Arabidopsis thaliana: one gene and its partners. The protein of the gene in region 1 purifies or fractionates together with the protein of each later gene. This does not show direct contact. Each region holds a gene or a part of one and is shown in the gene's direction. Other genes may lie near its edges. The genes, in order: MAG2, AT2G42700 and AT5G24350.

Region 1 (3,754 bases):
ACTCATGACTCATTAGTATATCATTACCCGATAAAATATGTTTAATCATTTGTGTAACAATTATTAAAATTGTTTTTTTTTTTTTTTGATAAGGTGAAACAATAAATAAAAGTTATACATGTACATTACATCCGTATATGAGTGTTCATAATTTTGGAAATAAATTAGAGACAATTCCTCTTTTGACAGATCAAAACAAGCACATCTTGCAAACTATGTGATTAAATTAAATTTTTTGGTCGTCTCAACTTGTGTGATTAAATATGTATATGTGTACTTTCAAACTACTAACTTAAGGTATTGTTTTGGTTTTTTATAATCCGTAATTAAAAATCCGAGGATTAAAAGAAACTATAAAATGTAACCCAAAAATATCCAAATAATAATATTTGTGAATTGTGATTAACTAATCAATATACGGTACTATTGCGTGGTCAGCTTGGATCTCAGCTCTCGTCGGGGCACATGAGTTTTTGGAATATACAGCGAAGAATCACGATGTGTACTCTCTTTTAATTTAGTTTTTATTTCTTTGGTTTAACTTTTCTAATATAATATTAATTTTTAGCGTACGGTATACACACTCAATTGATTACAAGTTCTCAAGTCTACTTCTCATTGTAATAATCAGTTCTGAAATTTTTCAAATGTAAACAGAAACTTTTTTTTTTTTTAACAGAAACTTGTTTCTTGCTAAATGTCATTGCTCCACTTTTTTCATTCCAAATAATATCATTAGATGATTAAGATTATGTATTACAAAAAGTAGAGAACCTAAAACAGAGATGATCCGTGCCAAACAAAATTATAAGAAATACAAAGGACATTAGAAATACACAAACTAAGAATCCTTGGGAAATTAGAATTTTTAGCCCACACTAACACCCAACCAATTTTCGATGTTGTGTGTTTTTTATATCCAACCAAGTTTAGAGGTTGTACACAAAAAGAAAACACATGAAATATTGTTTTTGAAAGTGTGAAGAAACCCAAGTTGAAGGAGTCTTTAAAATATTGATAGAACTTTATTAGATTTTAGTACGATAGAATTCCAAGAAAGATTACGGAGATCTCTTTGCCATATGGTTTCTGTCTCAATGATTCGCTTCTATGTTATTGTGTAAGATGATTTATATATACAAATATGTACGAGACTCAATACTACACATTTCCTTAGACAACTCGAAATTTATTGTTTATTTTAGGAATCATATGTACTTAAATATACATGCGCGTGTACATCACACTCTCGGTTTTATATGAAATGCATGCAAAATACTAATCCTGAGTTTGCTGGTGCGATTCCATTGATTAATTATCCTAATTTGGCTTAAAAGAATGGAAACAATGTCATCAAAATCCTCAAATTGTTTAAAACGTTAATTTAAATCCTCAATTTTCCACGAAACAAAATAAATATCAAATTTCTGTCGATTTTTCAAATACTGTAAAATACCAAACTTTTATTGACTTTCCAAATAAATAATAAAATTTTGTTGATATAGCCATATTAGACATACCGTTAAGTGGGATAACAAATCCTGCTATCAAAGTTCATTTTCTCTTAATAGACTCGTTAATTGAAAATGACAACGTTCTCTCTAAGAATAAAACATCGTCTTTTTGTCATAACGGGTCAATTAAATTTTTAATTTCAAGTCATATAGGAATTTAAGGTTAAAGATTTTGCTCGATTTGGGGATCCATGATTGATTGAATTTGGAGATTTTGCTCGACGTCACTTTGTTTTTTTTTTGTTTTTTTTTCGCTTTGTTGTTATAGAAAACAATAACGTTTTGTTGTTATAGAAAGCAATAATGTTTTGAATTAACGGGTATGTTAATAAAAAATTAATTTTGTTAACGGAATCTGTTAATCTACTTAACATCATGTCTAATATGACCATTAGCAAATATTTTGTATTTATTAAGAAAGTCACATAAGTTTGATATTTATTAGAAAAATCAACATAAATTTGATATTTATTTCGTTTCGTTGGATGTTGAGAATTTAAACAAATGTTTTCAAATAAAAGTTGGAGATTTTAGTGATAATTTTCCGATAAAAGAATGTCATTTCTTTGAGAATGCCATTACAGTTTTAATTTACTTGATATGTTAAAAACATTTTTGTGGGCTTAACCAGGGCCCATTAATCCGAGTTACCAAAACTCGCAACTCGTTAACACTCCGAGTCATTGACTCAGTATCTTCTTCCAACGAAATTTCAATTTTTCATTGTTCTTGATGAAACTGAGGCCACGACGAATCGCAAATGGAGGCGATCAAACCACTTCCACAGGTCTCGAGCTTCTCCGCTTCGGTATTTAGCTTTCTCGATGGCAGATTCAAAGAATCCACGGATCTCTCTCATTCTACGGGTCTGGTTTCCGAGTTACAGACGGAGATTTCCGAATTGGATCAGAGATTGGCCGGATTAAATCGCCAGCTCGAGTCAGGTCTCGCTGCTTACGCTTCGTTTTCCGATCGCGTCGGTGGTCTATTTTTCGAGGTTAATGCCAAATTGGCTGATCTCTCTTCTTCTACCTCCGTTACTCGCTCCGCGTCAGGTTCGTATGATTTCATCACGATTCTTCTGGATGTAGATTATGTTCTTGAAATGTTGTAGTCAAATATGTAAATTCAGTCCTGGTGATGGAAGATTGAATATATTCCCGTTATAATTTGAGAATTTGATAATTGTTTAATTCATTCAGATAGCGGAAAGGAGGAGGAGGCGACGGAGCATGTAGCCGGAGAGGATCTTCCTTCATTAGCAAAGGAAGTAGCACAAGTTGAGTCTGTGCGTGCTTATGCTGGTATGTTTGGTGTTAAGGCGTTTTGTATTTGATGGCTGCTTTCTGATAAAGACTAGCTCTATTTTATGATTTGGTGTTATCGATGTTGATCGGGATTAGTTAGTCCCAAAGTTGGAGTTACCAACCTTCTTTCTTAGTTTGGTCACTGTGGTATTCAACATTTTAAGATCTTTCTCTATGTTTCAGAGACTGCACTAAAACTTGACACTTTAGTTGGTGATATTGAGGATGCTGTGATGTCTTCTTTGAATAAAAACTTAAGAACATCTCGGTCAAGTGGTTTTGAAGTAAGCACACTGTCTTCAGCTTAGACTGTTCCGTAGTTTTAGCCAGTGTGTGTGGTTCAATGTTCTAAGTTTTTACTGATTTCAGGAAGTGCGTCTACATGCTATTAAAACACTTAAAACGACAGAAGAGATACTGAGTTCAGTAGCAAAGAGACATCCTCGGTGGGCACGTCTTGTTTCTGCTGTTGATCATAGAGTTGATAGAGCTTTAGCTATGATGAGACCTCAGGCAATTGCTGATTACAGAGCGTTGCTTTCTTCTCTTCGATGGCCACCTCAGCTTTCTACACTAACTTCGGCAAGTCTTGATTCAAAGTCAGAAAATGTTCAAAATCCGCTTTTCAACATGGAAGGGAGCCTCAAAAGTCAATACTGTGGAAGTTTTCATGCCTTGTGTAGCCTGCAGGGGTTACAGTTGCAAAGAAAGTCGCGGCAGCTTGGGATCCATAAGGGAGAAAATGTTCTTTTCCACCAGCCACTCTGGGCTATTGAAGAGCTGGTCAACCCTCTGACAGTTGCATCTCAGCGACATTTTACAAAGTGGAGTGAAAAGCCAGAATTCATTTTTGCCCTTGTGTATAAAATCACAAGGGACTATGTCGATTCTATGGATGAGTTGTTACAACCGCTTGTGGATGAAGCAAAACTA
Region 2 (3,754 bases), on another chromosome or scaffold:
GCCTGCACACATACATGGAAAAAATATGTAAAAGTTTCTACTCTGTATCGTTTGAGTCAAATTTGAAAGATTCTTCTCACAGATTCTTACCTGAAGATTATGCCAATCCCCTGGATTCCTTGAATCGCTTAGGAACGGTGACTTCTTTGTATCGATCACAAAGTTTATTCCTATGTCCACATACCCTAAAAGTCCCCCTGGGTATCGAGTTAAGAGATCAATCGTGTTCCTTACATGGAGGATCTTTAAGTTCTTGTGACTCATTACTTCGTCTCTGAACTCCTTGTTTCCTACCTGTGGACAACCAAAGACTATAGCAGTGACCGGAACATCATCACTGGAACCGTTCTCAGCTATATCATAGGCGGCCAGAACAGCCTCTGTAGCTCCCAAGCTATGTCCAGTCAACACAATGCTCGGTTTCTCGTCCTTATACTTCAACAGAAGCTCCTTGATCTTGGCTAACAACTGTGACCGTAGACTCAGCTTAGTGAATTTCGATTCGGGGTGATTAGAAGTATAGATTGTGAGCCACCCGAGCATCACCTTACACCCTTCTTCATCTTCACTGTCACTATCAAAAGTCGTACCTTCAACTACACCACCAGAACCATCCTGCTCGGGTCCGTGCAGCAAGGGGTCAGCTGAAGTTGGCCTAGCACCCAAAACATTGACCCACTCATAGTTCCTGCTCGTTCCTCTCAAAGCTATATAGATCTCACGGCGTCCTAAAGCCTTAGACCGTTCATCAGACGTGACAGCAATGTAGCCAAACCAGTTAGACTCACGGTCCCAAGAATCTCTTGATTGTGATTGGAGAAGCAAACCTTCGGGGAGAGAAACACGAGCTGTGGCGTAGAGGAAGTTTACAACCTCGTAGTCGGAAGCGTTTTCGAGCATGACCTTGTCGAAGAAAGAAGATTTGCCGTAGCGGCTGGCTCCACAGTACTTGGAGTTTTGGTCGTTGACGAAGGCATCGTAGGTGGCTTGACAAAAGTCGCCACAACGTAAGATGAGTTCCCTAAGTGATTGGTCTAATGGGTCTAAGATAGTGTCCCAATTCTTTGAGCCTAAGAGTTCTTCCCATGATGTGGTTGTTGTAGCCATTAGAGAGAAATGGTGTGTGTAAGGAGATAATAAGTGACTCTTGACTCTTAAGTTGTTTAACTTTATACAAATGGTTGTGGACTGGTGATGATGCTGTCTGACCCACTTATGTCCAAAGCGATAAAAGGTTATCACTGGTGTGGGAATATTATTGGCATATAGAATTATCCACAAACTTGCACATCATTCTCAACCATACAAAAAAGAGTAAAAATAAACCCAATCAAATAGAGAGAAGAAAATTCAACCAAATCAATCGATACACACGAAAAGAGACTTATTGTTTGTTTGCAACTAATCAAACGCGACGACAGGCTTGTCTTCGTCGTCCGGAATGGCCATGACCCAATCACCAGCCTCGGTCTTGAGCATGCCTTTGTTTTTCGCGACCCCACCAACACCCATCCTTCAATAGTGCAAATGATTTGTTAACCAATGTTATGTTTCAGTTAATCACTTTCATCTCCAATATATCCCCCTTTGATAACATTGCATCCTAGACCCGTTAACTAATATATGATGGGCCATAATAAATCAAAGATAATTCAAAGCCCAAAAAGTGTAAAAAAGCCCAACAAAGTGACGATCATACGACGAACGATATCAAGTTAAGCTATCATGTTCGTCGTCGGTGAGATTTCCCGGCGAAGCGAAAGCAGTGTTTCTCCGGTGGTTCAGGCATCAGTCTGATTTCAGACAACACATCTCATAGTAATTTGATTCTAACTGGCGATTTCACTCTAGCTCGACCAATTGTATCCAATTCTCGTAGCTGAGAGCAATGGCTCTGATCGATGTCGCGATATCTTGTCTCAATTCGATCCGCGAAGTAAGAAATCCGAATTCTCTTTTTTTTTTTTTTTTTTTTTTTTTTCATCTGGTCTCATCTTGTTACACGTTTTGATCTGCTGCACCTGAATCATTACGATTTCTCCATGATCTCGTTTTGCTCGTTTTTGTGTGTTCTTGGGAAATGTAAAAGTACCTTACTGTAATCCTGAACAAGTAAGGTTTAGATATTTTGGAAATGTTTTGTTTTGTAGATAGAAGAGGATGTAAAAGATGCGATTGTGTATATCGATGCTGGCTGCACAGAAAGTTTTCAATTTGTAGGAGCTTTCCCTTTGTTCTTGGAACTAGGTGCTCGAGCTGTCTGCAGTCTTGAAAACATGACTTCCTTAGATGCGGTAAGCTTGTTACCGTTTCTTTTTTTCCTGCACAATGTTGGCTAAGGAATATCCTATCAATCAACGGTTAGTGTTGGTAATTGAGGATCTAGATAAAGAACAGGAAGATTGTTATCCTCATACTTTTGGTATGAAGGGGATCTTTTTACCTAGAAAGTGAGAAATCTTCTGATTTAATTTATATGATGTGACTTTTGATGCCTTGTGCTCTAGGTGGCTGATTGGAATTCAAAGTCTGATTGTGCCAAGAGAATTGTGATTATGACATCTCGACTTCTCAATGATGCTCATCGGTATATGCTACGGTGTCTAAGCACCCATGAAGGTGTTCAGCGCTGCACCGTATTCACATCTATTTCAGAGGTGCTCTTCTTTAACGTTATCCTTGGTCTCATTCTTTATTTAATCTCTTTTTTTTCTCTGGATATATATATTGGCTTTTTTATTTTCTAGAACAATCACAAGCTATTTGACTTATCAACACTAGTGATCGTTATATAATCAAATTCAAAGTGATTGTAATGTATTCTCTAACTTAATTTAGCAGTTCTGCTTCTCTATGCCTTCTTCAAAATAATTTTCCATCTATAAGAGACTCTTCAGAATATTTGTTTCTTTTCTTGCGTCATTGAATATTAATCTGAACGTTGTACAGGGGTCTCACTCAGCTATCCCTGATTCACCTCTAGGTCCAGACGCGTATCGAGAGTATGAAACCTTACTTGTTCAGGATTACAATGAACATACTAAGAAAAGCGACAAAATATCTAAAGACAAAGGGGTTTCTAAGTTCTCTTCTGCACTTGAATCCCTTACTATGGAGCCTATTGAAAGCGAAAATGTAGATATTTCATCAGGTGGTGCACAAGGTTTGGTTGTCTCAGTTCACCACTTCCCCTTGATTATTTGTCCTTTCACTCCTCGAGCGTTTGTCTTACCTTCCCAAGGATCAGTCGCAGAAGCGTCCTTGTCCCGTCAACATGAGGATTCTCTTAGTTTTGGTTTGCCTCCCATAAGTACTGGATCTATGTCTGACACTGATGATGTTCCTCCTGGTGCAACTCTTACCGCACATTTTCTTTACCAGCTGGCCCTTAAGGTAAACTAACACTGCAGTAACCGCTTTGAACTTAATTCACGATGTTCATGAAGTACGTGAGCTAGAACACTAGAAGATATCTGTTTCCCTTGTTTGTCAATAATTTAATTTCTTCTGTACGTTTTTCTTAAATTTGTGACCATGTCGTCACTTTTTTAAAATTGTAGATGGAGTTGAAGTTGGAAATATTTTCACTTGGTGACCAATCGAAGAATGTTGGGAAGATTCTAACAGACATGTCAAGTGTTTATGATGTAGCGCGTCGTAAGCGATCTGCTGGCTTGTTACTTGTTGACCGCACACTTGATCTTATCACTCCCTGCTGTCACGGGGATTCACTTTTCGATCGTATCTTTTCATC
Region 3 (3,754 bases), on another chromosome or scaffold:
AATGCCAGGGAGTTGCTTGATCAAGCATTCAAAGAGAACAGAGTTCTATTAACAAGAGATACAAAATTGTTGAGACACCAGGATTTGGCAAAGCATCAAATATATCGAGTAAAGAGTCTTCTTAAAAATGAGCAGCTACTTGAGGTACAAACAAAGTTAATTTTCAACGTATAAGCTGTTATGCAAGATCTGTGATGTGGCATGATTTGGTTTACTAGATTTATTAATCAAAAAGGACACATACCCTGGAAATTTTGCTTTAAAGAATAGGATCTCTCAAGACACTAGTTAACAAATTTATTTTTAACCTTACTTTCTGGGTGGAACATTTTCTACACTACCTGTAATTATGGCATGCTTGGATTCACCGAGCCAAAATAACCTCGTCCACTCACTGTGCAACCACTTTTCTTACATTCAGTAGAATGATTACGGATTTTTTGTGAATTACTGAAACAAATAAGCTTCGCAGGTGATAGAGACTTTCCAGCTAAAGATCAGCGGAAATCAGCTGATGTCCAGATGTACGAAGTGCAATGGGAAATTTATTCAGAAACCTCTAAGCATTGAAGAAGCTATTGAAGCAGCAAAGGGTTTCCAAAGAATACCCAACTGCTTATTTAACAAAAATTTAGAGTTTTGGCAGTGCATGAACTGCCATCAACTATACTGGGAGGTAAGTCACCTACCCCATCTTTTGCCGTTGTGCATTATAGTTCTTGAACGAGTATACCTTGTGTCAAAAAATCATCTGGTCCATCTATGTTAGTTGTTTTGCTGATTGAACAGTCAAATTTTAGTTGCCTAACGATATTTATCAAATCAGTGATCCAATTAATATTTGTATGAAGTCTTAGTTGGTGAATTGAATCTTGATTTCTTTAAAACATCTTCATGTGTTCATGTCTTAGAGCAGAAATCATCTCCACAAGATTCATAACTTCCTATATAGCTCTGATCTGTTCTGTCTCTAATAGTCAGTGTCCGACATATTTAATGTTTGTTATGTGGTTTCAGGGAACTCAGTATCATAACGCAGTCCAGAAGTTCATGGAAGTATGCAAGTTGAGTGAGTGATTCACTTTTTTTTTTTTTTTTTGGGTTTTTACAATTTTGGTGAAGTGTTCAATCTCTCGTTACCTCAGTTCCTCAAATGTTTTTATTTTATATCAAACGTCTCTAAGCAAACAAGATGTGTTTGTAACTTGTGTCGTTTGCACACATGTGTTCCAGAGGTTATTAACCGTGTACAAATGTTTTAGTTTGTTTTACAAAGTTGAACACATTACTATCTTATGAGAAGAATAGACTTGTAGTATTTTCTATTTACCAGTTAAATTCTTGCATAATTTTCAAAGTGGAATATTATTTTCAATATGCTTTCTTGAGATGATGGCTTTTCTAGCCGTAGATTCATGCATTTTAAATATGATGATATACCAAATTTAGGTATTGTGGATTGGATTGGTCTAGTTCATTAGTTAGGCAAAAAATTTAACCTCATCAAATCAACATTACCTCTCTTCCTAATTTTCTCCATTGAATTCTTGTTCAACCATTTTTTTTCTTTCACTAGCAAATACGGTGATGAACTCGAAAATGATATCTTTGCGACAGATGAATTAACCGGTATAATTGGAAAGCGTTTCTTGAGCATCAGTGTTCCTACTTGAGGAAGAGTTGTCTTGTAGACCTAAACAAGAGATCAATTGCCCCAACACGAAACTATGTAGATCAAATAAGTATTTAGTTCACTCTTCTTTGCTCACTTCAAATATGTTTTAGACTTATTAGAAAATCCGGTGAGTCAGATATTCGACGGGCACATTCACATCGGAATTAATAGTTTCATAGGGTGTTGTCTCTTAAATTTGGACCGACCGGTTGGATTGCCTATCTGCCGTATAAAGAAAATAAGACAAGAGAACATTAATTTCATGGTTGAACCGGACGGTTCTTGGCTAAATTGAACCGAACCGATTGATTTCAGAAGGTATGTATAACTTTTTTTACGGAGTCGTCATCACTTTCTCTGCTCGTCGGCGAAGTTCACATTCACCGGTCGTATAGTGTCTTCGTCTCCTTCCTCGTGAAATTTGTTCATCACAGTCTCTACAGTCACCACCATAGGAGGTCGTACCGCCGGATCTTCGCCACACCATTAATTTCTGCGTTCTCTCTTCTCAATTCGCCGCCGATCTCTCTGAGCGTAATTACCAAATCGTGCTTAGGTATGTCATCAAATCTTGTCTCACACCTTCCAATTCATCTCCATGCACTAATTCATTAAGTAATTAGTCAAGGGTTTAATTCAAACTTTATGGTTAAATCGACGAGAGTGCTGATGTTTTGGGGTTAGGGTGTGAAGAAAATTATATTGATTCTCTCTCTCTCTCTCTCCTGCTAATTAGATCTCCTTCTCCTAGAAACTGCTGTGAGGATCGATCTCGATTGATCATGGAAAGTCCTGGAAGAAAAGTTTTGTATGAGATACGTCATCATGCTTCATTGCCTTATGTTCCTAGATATCCTCCTCTTCCTCAGGTACAAGATTCATCATTGCTTATACAATTTAGTGTTTTACTTATATCTTACGCTTTGATCCGCTGTCCAAGTTTAGGCAGATGGAACTAATTCGAAAGGAGGACTTCGGTCACTTGTTTCCATCAAAGGTCAGTCGCAGATGGTTAACTCAGAGATCTGTGATTTTTGAATCTTTGGTTTTATGAGCTTGTAGGAATCATGTTTGTGTACATCTCTTTTCATTAAATTAGCAGTATAGCTCATTGGTTCTTCATCTCTGTGCTCTTATGGTATTAAGGTGTTAGTCAACTCAAGGAAAAGTGGAGTGAATACTGGAATCCGAAAAAAACTAATAAGCCGGTGTCGTTATTTATTTCACCAAGAGGAGAACTTGTGGCTGTCACTTCTGGAAATCACGTTACTATCTTGCGAAAGGATGATGATTACAGGAAACCTTGTGGCAATTTTACATGTAAGAAATTCTGGCATATCTTCCCTTGCTTTCACAAATGTTTGCCTGATTATGTTTTTCGGGGTCATTGCCATAGCACACTCAATAAACGAATTTGTAGAATATTGCATTTATCTTGTCAAAAACTATCTACTTGATTTACTCTGATAACAAACGCCTATAAAACTTGCATTTGCTTCTTTTTCTCTCTAAGTTTAGTATGTGGAATCACCGTTTTGTGAAACCTTAGACTGTACCAGTCATTTATTCTGTTCATTAAAAAAATATGCTCTCCTCACAATACCGTTTTCCTTCTTTCTGTTTCTTAACTTATGGTCCTTTGATGTCTATGCTATGGTCCTCTAACTTCTGTATTCTGCATCAGCCAGCATATCAGGTTCATTTACTTCTGGAGTATGGTCCGAAAAACATGATGTTCTTGGTCTTGTGGATGATAGTGAGACCCTCTTTTTCATCAGAGCTAATGGCGAAGAAATAAGTCAGGTCACAAAAAGAAACTTGAAGGTTTCTGCACCAGTATTAGGATTAATGGAGGACGACTCTGATTTGCAACCATCATGCTTGTACGTTTCCTTCTGTTCATATTTCTTATTGATTAAGACTTACAGAGTACTTTGTTCAAAAAAAAAAACAGACTAAAGGAGTACTCTGGGATCCTAATGTGTCCTTGACCATTACAGTATACTTGTTTGCTTAAGGTCTACGGCTGATATGAAATTTTGACTGGTGGTCTGTGCTAATGATAATTTGCCTGCAGGT

What was found.
Region 2: the proteins of MAG2 (region 1) and AT2G42700 purify together in Arabidopsis thaliana (affinity purification with mass spectrometry, with the first as the bait; one study listed by BioGRID). This does not show direct contact.
Region 3: the proteins of MAG2 (region 1) and AT5G24350 purify together in Arabidopsis thaliana (affinity purification with mass spectrometry, with the first as the bait; one study listed by BioGRID). This does not show direct contact.

The regions. Positions count from the first base shown.
Region 1 is NC_003074.8:17,585,099-17,588,852, reverse strand, and holds the start of MAG2 (RINT-1 / TIP-1 family), read left to right. Parts: upstream 1-2,145; 5' UTR 2,146-2,274; coding exon 2,275-2,569; intron 2,570-2,716; coding exon 2,717-2,818; intron 2,819-3,004; coding exon 3,005-3,105; intron 3,106-3,190; coding exon 3,191-3,754. UniProt on the Arabidopsis thaliana protein: Functions in the anterograde transport of storage protein precursors from the endoplasmic reticulum (ER) to the Golgi complex and in the retrograde transport from the Golgi complex to the ER.
Region 2 is NC_003071.7:17,776,576-17,780,329, forward strand, and holds the start of AT2G42700 (vesicle docking protein), read left to right. Parts: upstream 1-1,698; 5' UTR 1,699-1,888; coding exon 1,889-1,936; intron 1,937-2,098; exon of another isoform or gene 2,099-2,150; coding exon 2,151-2,294; intron 2,295-2,507; coding exon 2,508-2,657; intron 2,658-2,949; coding exon 2,950-3,393; intron 3,394-3,560; coding exon 3,561-3,754. Other genes in the region: AT2G42690 (alpha/beta-Hydrolases superfamily protein), read right to left, coding at 1-2, 91-1,107. UniProt on the Arabidopsis thaliana protein: Required for proper maturation of seed storage proteins. Forms a complex with MAG2, ZW10/MIP1 and MIP2 on the endoplasmic reticulum that may be responsible for efficient transport of seed storage proteins.
Region 3 is NC_003076.8:8,299,080-8,302,833, forward strand, and holds the start of AT5G24350 (neuroblastoma-amplified sequence protein), read left to right. Parts: upstream 1-2,025; 5' UTR 2,026-2,231; intron 2,232-2,411; exon of another isoform or gene 2,412-2,426; 5' UTR 2,427-2,457; coding exon 2,458-2,544; intron 2,545-2,620; coding exon 2,621-2,672; intron 2,673-2,821; coding exon 2,822-2,995; intron 2,996-3,359; coding exon 3,360-3,558; intron 3,559-3,752; coding exon 3,753-3,754. Other genes in the region: AT5G24340 (3'-5' exonuclease domain-containing protein), read left to right, coding at 9-144, 473-769. UniProt on the Arabidopsis thaliana protein: Required for proper maturation of seed storage proteins. Forms a complex with MAG2, ZW10/MIP1 and MIP3 on the endoplasmic reticulum that may be responsible for efficient transport of seed storage proteins.